3 linked regions of the Schizosaccharomyces pombe genome follow. The protein of the gene in region 2 interacts with the protein of the main gene of each other region in a pairwise test. Each region holds a gene or a part of one and is shown on either strand. Other genes may lie near its edges.

The links. The genes of interacting proteins can lie anywhere in the genome.
Region 1: the proteins of mss51 (region 2) and yop1 interact in a two-hybrid assay, tested with the Schizosaccharomyces pombe proteins (one large-scale study listed by BioGRID).
Region 3: the proteins of mss51 (region 2) and tvp15 interact in a two-hybrid assay, tested with the Schizosaccharomyces pombe proteins (one large-scale study listed by BioGRID).

The regions. Positions count from the first base shown.
Region 1 is NC_003421.2:2,194,718-2,199,942, reverse strand, and holds yop1 (ER membrane protein DP1/Yop1), read left to right. Parts: upstream 1-2,742; 5' UTR 2,743-2,830; coding exon 2,831-2,881; intron 2,882-3,014; coding exon 3,015-3,297; intron 3,298-3,420; coding exon 3,421-3,635; 3' UTR 3,636-4,150; downstream 4,151-5,225. Other genes in the region: Rnase P/MRP subunit Pop5, read left to right, coding at 250-669; DNAJ domain-containing protein Psi1, read left to right, coding at 4,851-5,225. UniProt on the Schizosaccharomyces pombe protein: Required to generate and maintain the structure of the tubular endoplasmic reticulum network and the vacuole. Induces high curvature in membranes and causes membrane tubule formation. Involved in membrane/vesicle trafficking.
Region 2 is NC_003424.3:4,158,758-4,164,076, forward strand, and holds mss51 (splicing suppressor Mss51), read right to left. Parts: upstream 3,396-5,319; 5' UTR 3,232-3,395; coding exon 2,095-3,231; 3' UTR 1,841-2,094; downstream 1-1,840. Other genes in the region: phosphatidylserine decarboxylase Psd2, read left to right, coding at 71-1,621; deg1 (tRNA-pseudouridine synthase), read left to right, coding at 4,043-5,319. UniProt on the Schizosaccharomyces pombe protein: Has a dual role in the assembly of cytochrome oxidase subunit 1 (cox1). It has a regulative function on cox1 synthesis, acting as a translational activator specific for the cox1 mRNA, and it also binds to newly synthesized cox1 protein.
Region 3 is NC_003424.3:1,313,025-1,317,718, reverse strand, and holds tvp15 (COPI-coated vesicle-associated protein), read right to left. Parts: upstream 1,695-4,694; 5' UTR 1,621-1,694; coding exon 1,222-1,620; 3' UTR 1,076-1,221; downstream 1-1,075. Other genes in the region: tnr3 (thiamine diphosphokinase Tnr3/ Nudix hydrolase fusion protein), read left to right, coding at 1-626; fsv1 (SNARE Stx8), read left to right, coding at 3,255-3,998. UniProt on the Schizosaccharomyces pombe protein: Golgi membrane protein involved in vesicular trafficking.

The DNA of each region.
Region 1 (5,225 bases), on a different chromosome or scaffold from region 2:
ATAACACAGACGTCTCTATAAACTGTTTTCTGAGAAATTTATTCGTTGAGCAAGTTACATTTCTCTAACCGGTGTGCAATAAGTAGCAACGTTCATACCCACTACGATCCATTTTTGGGCAATTCCATTTCCAGCATTATTTATTCTTGTTATAGCATAACGATAATTTATTATTATTATTTGTCTCAAAGGTCATATTTCAATCAAAATCGCTGATTAAACTACAAAAAATATATATATCGTAAAACTATGGTTCGCTTCAAATCCCGATATTTACTTTTTGAAGTATTATATCCTGAAGCAAAAGAGTTTTTTGACTATCCTACTATCCCTTCTGATAGTTCTATAACTACGTCTAGTCTTTCTAAAATAATTAGAACCATGGTTGCAGAAAATTTCGGTGATGTTGGTATTGGAAAGGTTGCATCTAGTCTAACTGTAAAATATTTTTCACCTAATACATCTACTGGCATTCTGCGGGTCTCAAGACAGCATTTTCGTTTGGCATGGGCCGCATTAGTTTTAATAAGGGAATTATATGGCAAGCCTGTAATAATTCGCGTGGTTCGTGTATCTGGTACAATAAAAAAGGCAGAATTAGCTGCCATTGAACGAAATAAATCAGAAATTCATAACATCTCTCTGATGGATGAACCTATTGAAGTTTAAACCCTCCATCTTTGGCATTTGCTGGGTTCGCAAGTTTTTACTTTGACTTCACCTCTAAAGATCGAACTCAAGACGAAATTTTTTTTATGCCTTCATGTGCTTCAAACTTATATATTGATTCCTTGGTTTCGTTCCAAAACCCAATTGATGCAGTGTGTGCAGAAAGTTGCTGCTGTATCCACCTTATTTCTCATGGGTATATTCATATAAAACTTTAATTCATTAATCCAGAGAGGAGGCATATGTTTACCCATAGCTGTTTAGATTTTGAAATTGAGGATCTGGGAAGATCTAAATAACAAGTATGCTGCATTTCCATTGCCAAGTATGAGTAAACTCTTTAAACTATACAACTATTCAATCGCCAAAAAAAAATTTGATGAACTTGGAGCTATTAAGTTAATACTTTTCTCTTGGAAAATGAGATATCGTCTGTTTTGGGAATACCTTGTTTACTATTTTCATTGTATCATCTGTTAAGCTTGACAACGGCCAAAAAGAGTTGTATCTACGAATGCATACTTTTGCCCATAAAAAAATAAACATTTACGTATTGGAATGAAAAAAATCATTGCAGGTCTCAGTAAACATCTCATGAATGTGTTTTCTTCGTGGGAAGGTACATCCTTAATATATCCCAATGATTCTAAATTTCCAGCAATCGTTATCAATTTTATTTTTTACAGACAAACGAATAATTTATTTAGCTGTTGACGGATGCTATAATTCTATGTCGTTAAAGACTGTATACACTTTACAGTTTGAAAAGTTTGCTTGACATTTACCGGTGCTTCTACAAGGTCTAAAGTAAGAAAGATAAACCAAAACTATTGTCATTACAACAGTTAACAGTAGCCAAAGACAGCTATAATCCCAACAAACATATAAAAATTCCTTAAATTAGGGGATTTTCTCAAGTAACGATTTTAAAAACCAGATAACAATCCTACTGAGTCAAAGAAGCAACCATATCCTTATAACGAAAACATCAGAAATTACTCAAATGATTAACAATATCAATAAACTAATCTATCAATTATTTTCGATGAACATTACTTCTTCTTATCCTTGATTAACAGCTATGTATGCTATTTTATGATATCTTCTCTTGAAAACCCCAAAAAAACAGTCACATTAAGAAGAATATAAAGGGCACTGTGCTTTCTGCTTTTGCATAGTTCTTTCACCTGGAGTGTGCTCATCTAAATAGTAAATAGGTAAGTTTCATCATTTCACAAATGGAGATTTCAGAGGATGCGAAATATATACCCAAATTGTATAGCAAGGATAACGGGGTAATCGTTTTGGTTGCCTTCTTGCAGTGATAAAGCATTTTGTCATAGTTACACTGATGAAATTCTTCATTTGCTTAAAACTTTTTGGTCTTAAGTTTGAAAATTCTTTACTAATTTTGAAATAGATAAAAGAAGCCGTTTTTAACAGTTAGACACCATCCTATTCTTGAGATGGTTTTTTTATTCGATCCACGAGTTTTTGATAATTACCGATACTATAAATTTAATAAGAAATTAAAAATTTACTTTATTAAGTCAAAACTTGTTTACATTTAGTAGTAATTTAATTACAATTGAAAGAGTAATGTTGGTAGTGATATATATCTATGCAGACTTGTATGTAATGTAGACATTCTTTAAATCAGAGAACCGTAAAGTTCGGTTGTCCTCCTTAACTTTAGATAATGCAACCGTACATATTTTGCAGGGCTTGACTTTAGCGAACTGCATAGTCCAGTTGTTCATGGTTTGGTTAAAACAATACAACGTAGCATACTGTGGAAGTAAATCGCTCATTTTTGCTATGGTTTTTTTACTGTTAAATGCTTTGGTAATGAAGTAAATAAACTTAGACAGAAACACAAGATGACTGTTTGATCGGCTGAAAATACATACGGCAATTCTTTTGAAAATCGGATTGTATTTGTACTATACAGTATCGTATTTACTGCGACTTTCCTATGCACTAATTAATATACCACACTGACGGTACGAAGCGAATGCCTGTAATCGTGACGTTGTTCACTACCACCGATAGAATAAATGCAAACTTATCTTTAGCAAACAACTCCCATATTCTAAGACAAATAGTTCGTTCAAAAGAAAAATTATTGAACACTCAGATAATTTAATTAAGCAGTACCAAAATGTCTTTTCAAGTTCGTGTTAAGCAGAATATGCAAGATTTGGATAACAGGGTATGTTAGCAATAAGGCAGGATATCCGATGGAAGCCGCTTTACGCACTCGGCAATATAGGCTATTATTAGTATCTTGTGATTTTAGAAATTATTCTTTCTATTCAAATTTGTTTACTAACTTTTTTTTCCAGTTGGCAGCCTTTCCTCAACTCAACAGTTTGGAAAAAAATTTTGGTGTTAGCAAGCTTTATGTTTTTCTTACTGCAGCTGGTATATATGCCTTGTTCCTTTTCTTGAACTGGGGTGGATTTTTACTGACCAACCTTCTGGCATTCGCGATGCCTGCCTTCTTTAGTATCAATGCTATTGAAACTACTAACAAGGCCGATGACACTCAATGGTTGACCTATTATTTGGTAACTTCATTCCTCAACGTTATTGAGTACTGGTCTCAGCTAATCCTTTACTATGTCCGTAAGTGTTTAAATTTTTTGTATTTAGAGGCGTGATTATAAGATCATTAAGGATCTAATAAATTTTGCTCTCTGCTTTTAAATTTATTTTTTTTATTTACTAACTGGGGATTTTCCTTTTTAGCTGTGTATTGGTTACTCAAGGCTATTTTCTTGATTTGGCTTGCTTTGCCTAAATTCAACGGTGCTACCATTATCTACAGACACTTGATCCGTCCCTATATCACTCCTCATGTGATCCGTATTTGCAAAAGCGTTTCTCGTCAAAATGCCGCTCCTGCGCCCACAGCCTCTTCTTTTGCACATACTACCGCTACTGACATTCCACCCTCTATCTAGAGATTTCTGAACAAAATGTTTGGAATGGACTTGTATTCCATAGAATAGTTATGCTATACTACTCGATGAATGATTGAAAATCATACAACGGTAACGTTGTTTTCTTGTTTTTTCCCATCACAATTGACTATATTTTGGACAATTGCAAATAATTCAGTGTTTCAGAAGCTTTGCCTTTCTGAATCTCTTTCCTCTAGTTCTGATTATTTTTATTGACTGTCAAAAATTTAAAAAAATTTGGCCTTTTATATGCCGCTTTCGGCATGGACCTCGGCAATGTTGAAGGGTTTATACTATATGTATATCGCGTAGTCTTTTTGAGCAGTACAAAATTATAAGGCTGCATGCTTTACCACAGTACCGAAATTGCAATAGACATTTATTTTATGGCAACTATAGTAACTTACACACACATCCCAAAAGCAATAACCAGACTACAGTATACTTACAATGATATACCCATATTCGAAATTGCTGAAAAAAATTCTGAAGATTAATAACAAAGTACTATCTCAAAGTAACTGCCGCTTTGTAGAATTGTAATATAAAAATATCGCAATCAATTTATATTTTGTACAAATACATACAATACGTCTTTCAATAAACAGTTAACCCATTATAGCGTCGTTAAACACAATAATGAACTCTACCACTTTACATTGTGCATTTAAGAAACTTCGTTAAACCACATCAGTTTCTCGCTTATACTCGAAGTTTCTAGCATTACATCATGCCATGGTATATGGTCCGTCCCAGCGGGTACAAAAACATCTACTGTCTTCACACATTTTGTTTCGTTTCCAAACGATATTTAGAGTGTATTGCAACGTTTACATTCCATTAATATTTGGTCGAAAGAATAGTATTTCTTATTGACTTTACATACACTACTTTGGTACTATTTTTCTTGAAAATTCAGGAACATTGTACAATTTGAATTGTAAGGTTTTCTTACGAAATATATATAAAGGAGTTATAACACAAGAAAAGTGGAAAAATAAAACTTTCATTTCGTTTATTCGAGAACAAATAAACCGAAAAAGCTTCGCTTTTGTTTGATTTTTCGTTTCTATTTATTTCTCTTCATTTTTCTCGTTTTTTTGATTCCACCATAACGATTTATATTGTGTTTGTGTTTGATAAAGCATCTACACTCGCACTTTCCTTTTTCATATTTCACACAGATAGAAAAAACAACAATTACTACAAAACATCATGGTAGCAGATACCAAATTATACGATTGTTTGGAGGTCCGCCCCGAGGCCTCTGAGGCAGAGTTAAAGAAGGCATATCGAAAACTTGCACTTAAATACCATCCAGACAAAAATCCTAATGGTGAGAAGAAATTTAAAGAAATTTCTCTTGCTTACGAAGTATTGAGCGATCCCCAGCGCCGTAAGCTTTATGACCAATACGGTATCACAGAAGGGAATGCTGCTCCACCACCACCGGGTGCTGAAGGTGGCCCTGGTGCAGGCTTTGGCGGCTTCCCAGGCGCCGGACCTGGTGGAGCTCGAACATTCCACTTTAATATGGGTGGCCCAGGTGGAGCTCAATTTTTCAGTGCCAGTGATCCGAACGACATTTTT
Region 2 (5,319 bases):
TATATTTTTTTTACAAGTTTTCAATTTTAGATTTAGCATACCTAACTAAGGAAATTTATACCGATCAAACATGCGTCCTCGTCAAAGATTTCGTCGTTTTCATCCTCGTTGGTCAAAAGTTAACCTTCGAGGCTTCGGTGGTGTCGGCGCTTTGAAAGGTGTTAAGGCCCTAAATGGAATGAACGTACGCGTTTCCATGAGATTAAAATGGATCTCAAATCGTATCCATCGCATTCGCAGGAGTCGCCGCTTGGGGCGCCTTTCTATAAGTGTCCGTCCTAATGGTTCCTGGCAGGTATATTTATTAAGCTCTCTTCCATTAAGGAGCCTTTCTCGTGTCTGGGGACAATTTAACAGAGCTCATTTACCTACTTTTTTGCGTACACCCGGATTTAAACTATATGCTTGGGTTTTTGGATGCAATTTAAGCGAATTGAAGGATCCTGATTTGACTCATTACCGTAATTTTCAAGATTTCTTTTGCCGTGAGCTTCGTCCAGAGACTAGACCCGTTGATCCTGTTTCTCCTGTCGTATCACCGGTAGATGGCCGTATCGTTTGTCAGGGAGTTGTCGATAATAATCGAATTCAGCATGTCAAAGGTCTTTCTTACTCTCTTGAAGCTCTTTTAGGAGGTATATCAAGTTCGAATCCTTTAGTCGTCAACTTTGAGGATGAAATAACTCCTGATCTTATTCAAAAGCACGAGCAATTTGCTGAACAACACTCAATTTCCTTAAATTCTAATAACCGCTATCGTAAAGCTGATGCTTCAGCTGCCGTTGTGGATGAACATTCTGACGAGGAAGCACTTCTTTGTGCTTTTACTGACCATCCGCATTTTTATCTTAATGACTCTCGTAATTCCTTAAATTATTTCTGTCCCTTTTCTGCCTTTGAAGATATTTCAAATTCCGTTCGTAGCTCATGCGGAAAACGACTCTCTCCCTCAAGCAATTTCGATCTGAATAACCTTGGAGGTGACGATGACTTGAGGAGTGAGTCATCTAGTGATTTTGAATCTGCTCCTGCTTCAATTCTTGAACACGAACCAACTAACTGGGATGATTGGGTACAAGAAGCTGACGTTACGGACATTGACTCATTACCTTGGCACAATATCCGTCCTGGCAATAAGCTGTTTTACTCTGTGATTTACTTAGCACCAGGTGACTATCATAGATTTCACTCTCCTGCTGATTGGGTTATTGAATCTAGGCGTCACTTTTCAGGTGAACTCTTTAGTGTTTCTCCATTTTTGGCGCGAAGACTACACAACCTTTTTGTGTTGAATGAACGCGTAGCATTATTGGGTCGTTACGAACATGGATTTATGAGTATGATTCCTGTAGGTGCAACCAATGTGGGTAGCATTGTCATTAATTGTGATCCTACTTTATCTACCAATCGCCTCGTCTTACGGAAGAAGTCATTAGGTACGTTTCAAGAAGCAGTTTACAAGAACGCTTCTCCTGTTTTAGACGGTATGCCAGTTAGTCGTGGCGAACAAGTTGGTGGGTTTCAACTCGGAAGTACCGTTGTTTTGGTATTCGAAGCACCTGCCGACTTTGAGTTTTCCACTTATCAAGGCCAATATGTTCGTGTTGGAGAGGCCCTCTAAACAGGATAAATCGGGATAATTTTTATTAATCGCTGGATTATCCCTGATATAAGTTATTGTTAGTATGAGAATGTGTGTATTCTAAATAATCATTTGTATGTGATGAATTAATTAAATTAACCCATTTGCTTTTGATCTTCTTTTTATTTAAATTGATATTGCGTTTATAAACCCATAATTATAGTTACTATTTACTTAATTACATTCCAATTTAAAGAATTGACACCCAATAAATTTATTTTATTGATACACCTTTAAAGTAGTAATGAAAATGTTTAAAAATAAGTATGGTTAGCTTGTTTTGACATAAGGTGGCATGTCTTCTTTTCAAAATTCGTAATTGATAATCATTACATATATACTAATATTTTGTTTATTCACAATCCAAAATTTGGACCTTAAAATTCATTAATAGATTGCTTTTAGATTAGAATATGAAATTGGAAGATGGTAGACGACTTAACGGACAAGAATTACTCTTTGGAAACATTTTGGACATTATAATAAAGGGCTCTGAATCCAAATACTTCTTGATTTGCGTGATAAACTTCATGAAGGTTTGAATCATCAACAGACCAGCCTAAGCTGGCAAATTTATTAACAGTTGGCAATAACAAGGGCTCAATTGAATCTTTCAAAACATTATTAAGAACTTCCAAATCTTTGGTTGTTCTTTGAGATGAAGGACTTGTGAGCCATACAGAGCAACGAGTCGATACCAAATCGTGAAGTGTCGGAATCCACGATGAAGAATAAAGTGGATGACTTATAAGAGGCATCGGAAGAAAAAAAGTATCATAGTAGGGGTCAAAAGGCTCAAAGGCTCCAACTCTATGCAAATTGTGGTAGTAATCCTGATGAAAATGAAGGCTGAGTGGGGAAGGCAAATTGGGTTGCTTAGAAGGAACAACAACTTCAGGTCCGATAAAATGCAATTGAAATAAACGACCTGGGAACAAAAAGTTCAATCCTTGTAACCAAATTGATGGTGGTAATGAACATTCTTTGGTAGCACCCAAAACGAAAATTCTAGTGGGTCTGGGATCAGTAGATTGAGCAGACAAAGGACGATGAAGCATATATCGTAGAGCAGTTAATGATTGTAGACCCTGGGGAGTTAACCCATTTTTTAAATTATAAGGAGAATTCTTGTGAAGGATAGCGCCGATTGACATGGGATATGTTAATAAACTAGTAATATGTCTAGCAGTTCTAGACGATTGGAACTTTGGGAAATCGCGGGTATAGAAGAATGAATCCCATGACAGAAGAGAAACTACTTCATCTTCTTCCATGGGTCCAGGAAGTTTGAGTAGTTCCGGCAAAGGGTTTGGTCGTGCTAAGTCATGATAGTCTTCATTAATTTGGCGTAGTTTTGGGATAAGGGATTGGTGAATCTTGTCCTGTTCCCAATGAGTTCTATTACAATGAGTAGGAAATCCAGATTCAGGACACTCATATTCCACTGACTTTCCCGAAATTGGACACCGATAGACTTGTTTGATATGCTCAGAGCGACGGCGAAGAGCCGTTAAGGGAGAACGCGATAAAGGATGGAATAATTCATGAGTTGGGGATTTCTTCTTGAAGAGATTTTTTAAAAACGACATAAGTAAAAAAAATATAAGCGAAACGTCACTCTTGAACCAAAAAACAACCTTCTACCGGTTTCAATGTAACTATAGGTAATGAAATAAATTTTTATGTCGGTGTTGCAGCTAAATTTAACAAGTATTGATTTAGGTGAACGTGTTTAGTAGCAGACGAAGAAACTAAAATTAAAAATGTCAAGGAACATAAAAAATACGTTAACAAGGCAAACTATTGAAATGCTTAGTAAAAAAAATTAACAAATTAGTTCGTAGAAGCAATTGCTTTGTTCATTAGCAACCGACATTCAGTAGCGAATTTTATTCTTTAAAAAAATATTAAGTATTGAGTTGACTCAACAAAGAGGTGATTTTCAATAATGTTGATATTAAAGAACTATCTAGTAAATCAATTGCATAACGGGAAATGCACTTTCTTTATTGGAAGTCTACAATGCAACTATAAGGAATACGAATCATCTCGAAAGTAGCTGTGTTAATCTAAGCTTCTATAATTTTCATTGCTCGTAATGTAAAGTGAACTCAATATTTTAGTAACAGTTCCAGCTGGCCCAACAAGACTGCAAACTGACCATACAGAATCCCAAAGCTGTTGTACTAATGAGCAACTAAAAATATATCTGATAAATTCTCAATGTTACATAGATGATTTATAACTTTACTGCGAAAATGTCTGCCTCTTATGACAAGCAAGTCATTAATTATCAGAGCCTTGCGAACCTATTCGTCTGCCACCTGACCTCGTCAAAGGCAGTAATTAAATTGGCAATATAATTCAGGCAAGATTTTTCAATTTTCTAAAATCCTTCGAATGCCCGCCTCCAAATATGCTGGATGGTCTCGAGACCAGCTAATATCCAGAATTTTAGAATTGGACGGGAAATTGCAAAAAAATACAAATTCACTTCCCAATAAAGAAATTGAGGGGAAAAATGAAGTAATTAAAAATAAAAACAAATTGGATAATGGAAATGAAATAGAACCCCAGCATCTGAGCCAAGAACTAGTTTTGCAACATGCGCTTCAGGACGCAAGTAGTCTTCCAAAACTGAAACCTGTCAGACCGTTTCAACTAGAAAAAACAGTTTTTGTTGCTTTTAAATTTGCCTATTGTGGTTGGAATTACAATGGTCTTGCCTACCAGTTAGAACCGACTCCTTTGCCCACTGTTGAAGGAAAGGTGTTTGAAGCGCTGTTGAGAGCTCATCTCATCACTGATCCTTCATCATGTTCCTTTAGTCGATGTGGACGTACTGATAAGGGAGTTTCAGCCATGGGTCAGGTTATATCATTAAATGTACGACATTCAGAAAGAAGACCTATCATATATTGTGATGTATTGAATCGCCTGTTGCCCGCAGATATACGTATTACTGGCTATGCATTTCCACCAGAAGGCTTTGATGCTCGATTTTCCTGTAAACAGCGTCATTATAAATACTTGTTTACTAAGGATTATCCCGGTGGTTCTCTTGACATTGATCGAATGAATGAAGCCGCAGCACTTTATCTAGGTGAGCATGACTTTCGAAATTTTTGCAAAATAGATGCTTCTAAACAAATTACAAATTATCACCGTCGAATTCTCAGTTCAAAGGTTATTTGCATTGATCCCAGTACCGGTCTTTACGCTTTTGACCTACAAGGAACTGCATTTTTATGGCATCAGGTACGATGTATGATGGCCATTCTATTTTTAATTGGTCAAAAGCTTGAGCCGGCCTCTCTCATCAATGATCTTTTGGATATTAAAAAGGTCCCTACTAAGCCAATTTATGATATGGCAAGTGAGTATCCTTTGATTTTGTACGACTGTGACTTTGATAATATTGAATGGACACTACCTACGGATAGTCCTACGACTGCTCCTCGTATCGCTAAACATACATATGAAACCATATATCATCAGTGGCATAGTCTACGTATTCGAGAGCAGATAGCTTCGTTTATGCTTGACATAGCAGATCATAATGTAAAAAGATATGGCAAATCGGAAGAGTCAAGCAGTACTATGAACGTTGGTGAAGGATTGCTGAAGCGAACAAAAAAGTACATCCCAATTCTTTCTAGACAACGTCAGGAATCAGT
Region 3 (4,694 bases), 2.8 Mb from region 2:
TAGATATACCGGATGATAGATTTCGTACTTTATGGAAAAGAGCTAGTATCCGAGTCTGCGCAGACGGTGGTGCTAACCAATTGAGAAATTACGATTCTTCGCTCAAACCGGATTATGTCGTTGGTGACTTTGATTCGTTAACAGATGAAACTAAAGCTTATTATAAAGAAATGGGAGTCAACATTGTATTCGACCCATGCCAAAACACCACTGACTTTATGAAATGCCATAAAATAATTAAAGAACATGGGATTGATACTATTTTTGTATTATGTGGCATGGGTGGAAGAGTTGATCATGCCATTGGTAATTTAAACCATCTATTCTGGGCCGCCTCGATTTCTGAAAAGAATGAAGTATTTCTATTAACTGAATTGAATGTATCAACTTTGCTTCAACCCGGAATAAATCATGTTGATTGTCACGACAACATTGGTTTACATTGCGGTCTTCTGCCAGTAGGACAGAGTGTGTATGTTAAAAAAACCAGCGGCCTTGAGTGGAATATTGAGGATCGCATTTGTCAATTTGGAGGACTCGTCAGCTCTTGCAATGTAGTGACAAAAGCAACGGTGACTATAGAGGTCAACAATTTTATAGTATGGACAATGGAAACACGTCTATAAGACCTGTAAGTAAGAAACTCAGAAAGAATATTCATTATTCCCAACAGCTCAAAAAAATTAAGATATTTATTTAGATATAAAAAATATAAAACATCTATAGAGTATAAGCGGTAATGGTCATAAAGCAAAAAGATAATTGATTAGAGTAATGAAATAAAATAGAATTTTAGTAAAGCCAACTAACATTTTGAACTGCAAGATACATCTCAGAAAGTGAAGAAATAGAAAAAAATCATAATTTTTCATATTGTTGAGCTTGACATGTCATTTTTATCCTCCTCGATACACCCGACAGTTCAGAATCCAAGCTGGACAATTAAAGGTATTTGAATGTATAACCCTAAAACCCATCACAAATACCATAGCTACTACGCTAATGTTGATATACAAAAATTATACATAGTTAAGAGATCGTATACATATTTATACTCATTAACTACTCTGAGGATGACTGCTAAAGTGACTGTCTTTTAGAACACCTACCCTGAAGAAAACGAATGTATCCAGAATAAATCATATGTAGGAGGACATCGGGAAAAGAGGGGGGTAGGAACAAGAACCGAATCAAATAATATAGTTAGAAATAAAAAAAAGTCTACACTTCATCAACGTTATCATCCCAATCATTATCACGCATGCTTCTGGGAGCGTAGTCTTGCAATCCTGCTACGTAGTTTGCACCACAGTAGGCGATACCTGCAAGAAGAACTAAAAAGCCTAGGAAAGAAGTAAACCCGGAGTAAGAAAAGAGTAAAGTACCCATGAAAGCGTAGAAGAAGCCCCTTCCTAAGAATGAGAACATGAACGATCCATATTTAATAGCAATAGGAGGAATTTCCTTTTCTAAACCAATAGTTCCCAAACCGAAAACGATGATGAACAATGCAAGTAAAGCGTTTACGAAGCTAAATGAAAATAACTTGATAAATCCGCTTAAAACGAAGATACCACCTACGCCCAAATTAATGGCACTAAACATTTTTGTTTTATCCATTGTGAATTAAGTGTATGCAACCAATATTAAATTTTTCAAGCAATATGTATTTTAGTCGATGTTTGCTTAAAGACAAAGAGAAATGCAAGTTACTAAGCCTGCCTATGCTTACCGATGCGGTCATGCATATTTACGAACTATTGAAATACGGTAAATAAAAATAACGAATTCCATAATTCTCAACCAACTTTTTGTTGTTTACAGAAAATGAATAATTCAATTCATCGAAAATGCATTTTGTTTTCTATAGCATTCTTTGTACTGTTTTTGAAGTTAAAAACACTATCATTTAGTAAATAATGTACTTTCGACCCGGCTTTTTTTTGAGACAACTGTTGTTGACAATTTTAAGGTCTGTGGGTCAATTTATATATTTGTCAAACGTTCGTAAACAAATGTATTTGTATCTTAGTTTCATACGAGCTCCTTTAGCTATATGTGATCTACTCTCACTCGGGATCTACAGGGCTGTAAAATTTTTTGCACTCAAGTTTCACGCGATTATTATCAGATGCACCTGAATAAAAAAGAATAAAGTAAAATAAAAAGCCGAATGTTTTATAACGTAGTAAAATTCCTTCTTATTTTGATCGCTTTGCCATTCATTTGATTATGTTTATAATGATAATTTCACGTGCAATGTCAACTTTGATAGACGGCTACATCTATTTCTAATTCGTAACGCTATAAAAAAAAACTCCATTTTAAACTGAGAATAAAGCAAGAAGTCGATTAGCCGAATATAGATATCAGCATGATTCGTTTTAAACGGCCCAAAGCCTTGTATATATTTGAGTAATTTTCTACTGTACTTAATTGTCTGTAATTAAACAACTATTTGTTACTCCTACCTTGTTACACTTGGATTTAATACTCTGGAATTAGTGTACTAACTCCTAAATAAATATTTAAGTAGTATTTTTCTTTAAGATATTTCTTTAATAAACATTCTCTTCTAATGAAAAGAAAAGCGTCATTATTGGTATTTTAGTTTTCAGAGCAAAGAGGTACTTAACATTTATTATGTCGCAATTATTTTATATATATATTATATTAATATTTTGTAATGAGAAACCTAGGCCTAATAGTGTAGTGGTTAACATACCTCTTTCGGGTAATCCCCACTTGTATGCTGAGTTTAGAGGTGATCCCTGGTTCGAATCCTGGTTAGGCCCCTTTTTATACTGGGCTTGCTGTATAAATTTATCTGATTAATTTTGAAACTACGCAAACCAACTTTCAATAATTAAAAAGTTTTCCTTACACCTTGCTTGATTACCTTTTAATAGATGTGAAATAAGAACTACTAAATTTGTGATAAATACCGAAAACAATCAGAAGAGTCGAAAAGAAGCATTCAAAAAATTGTGTAAATAACGAGTAGGTTTCTAATAATACGATAATTTCACAGGATGCCTATAATGGATCTGGCAGCTAATGAGCAAATCATTTTTACTTTTTTTTTTATTTAAAACATACGAAAAGATTCTCTTTTTTTGCTGCAAACAAAATTTACTGTAATTGAACCTAGAATTGGTAGCAAAGGCATTACACCGTATTACTGTAAACTTCACTAATGTTTGTGTTTTTAGGCGCATGATGAACATGATTACTCAAGAAAGTAACCAGCGACTATGTCAAATTTGCTTCTGATCATTGACTCGGTTTCACAAAAAATAAGAGACAGGAGGAAGTTGGAAGAGTTTGGACAGAATCCCGATGAAGAAATTGAGTCTTCATTGAAAGATGTTCGGCAAGAATTGCAAAAACTTAATGAGGAGCAATCGCGATTAGAGAAAAATGCACAAATCCCAGAGTACAGAGTACGAGAATCCGAAGCATTTCTTATTAGAATGCAAAGGAGGTTAGAGTCTGCTGAGGAAGAGTTTGAGAAGCAGCGGCGTGCATCCTCAATTCCTGCTGACGGAACAAGTGCCTTTTCTGCAAACCCGCAAGTTGCAAGTACGAATAATAAGTTAACTCCCCTTCCTTCTTTACAAAAAACGACTTCGAGTAGTGAGGGATCTGATATTGAGATGGAGGCCATGTATCCGGTTGATGGCAATGACCCTGATCCCATAAACGTAAACGTTTTGGCTCAAATGCATCAGCAAATGCTCAACGAACAAGAAGAATCTTTAGGAGGGATCGAAGCAAGTGTCCAAAGGCAAAAGCGGATGGGATATGCAATGAATACAGAATTGTCCGAACAAAATGTTTTACTAGATAATATGAATAATGATGCTGATCGAATTGAGAGGAGGTTTGATCATGCAAAAAATCGATTAAACAAGGTCAGCCGAAAGGCTAAACAGTATCCCAGATGCTTTATTATTTTGCTCCTTTGTGCGTTGTTATTACTTGTGGCTTCCATTTAGGGTGCAAATAAATATCACTTAGCAATTGTACTTGCTGTAACTCTGTTACACTTTCACTTAATTCTTTTATTTCACGTCCTCTTTGAACTAGGCTATATAGTTCTTTTATTTATATTTAATAACCGTGATATTTACGAACTTTTTTTTTACGATTTTGAAAATGTTTTTGTGATCTTCAACTTCTTTTGCTAAACGAACCTTCCCTTTATAGGGAATACAGAAATTAACTTTTTCGTACATTCCAGTTTCTAACCATTGACTGTCTTTCTACTTTAGTAATTATTTTTCTGCTAGCGCATTTCTTATCGAAATCATTTTTGTGTTCTTTTAAGGGCCGTCCCCCTTGTTCACAAAGCTAGTTTTGACGACTTAAATCAAGTGAATATAGTGCATGCAGAGTGAATGCTTAATAACCATTTGTTACAAACTTTGTTTCGCTAATAACTCCTTATTTGACATTTGAATAAATAACCTATTAGACTTTCAAAATTTTTAGATTCAGGGCAGTAAACAATAAACAACAATATCTTCAATTAGCTGTATCAATTTATTTTCAGAAGTTTTGCTATATTATTCCTTCATCTCATTAAAAAATATTCTCTTCTATTATTAAACATACGTAGTCATGTTATCATTATCATTATTAAGGAAAAGTTTGAACGAGTAGATTCTTTCTTGAGAATTAAGGGAACATGT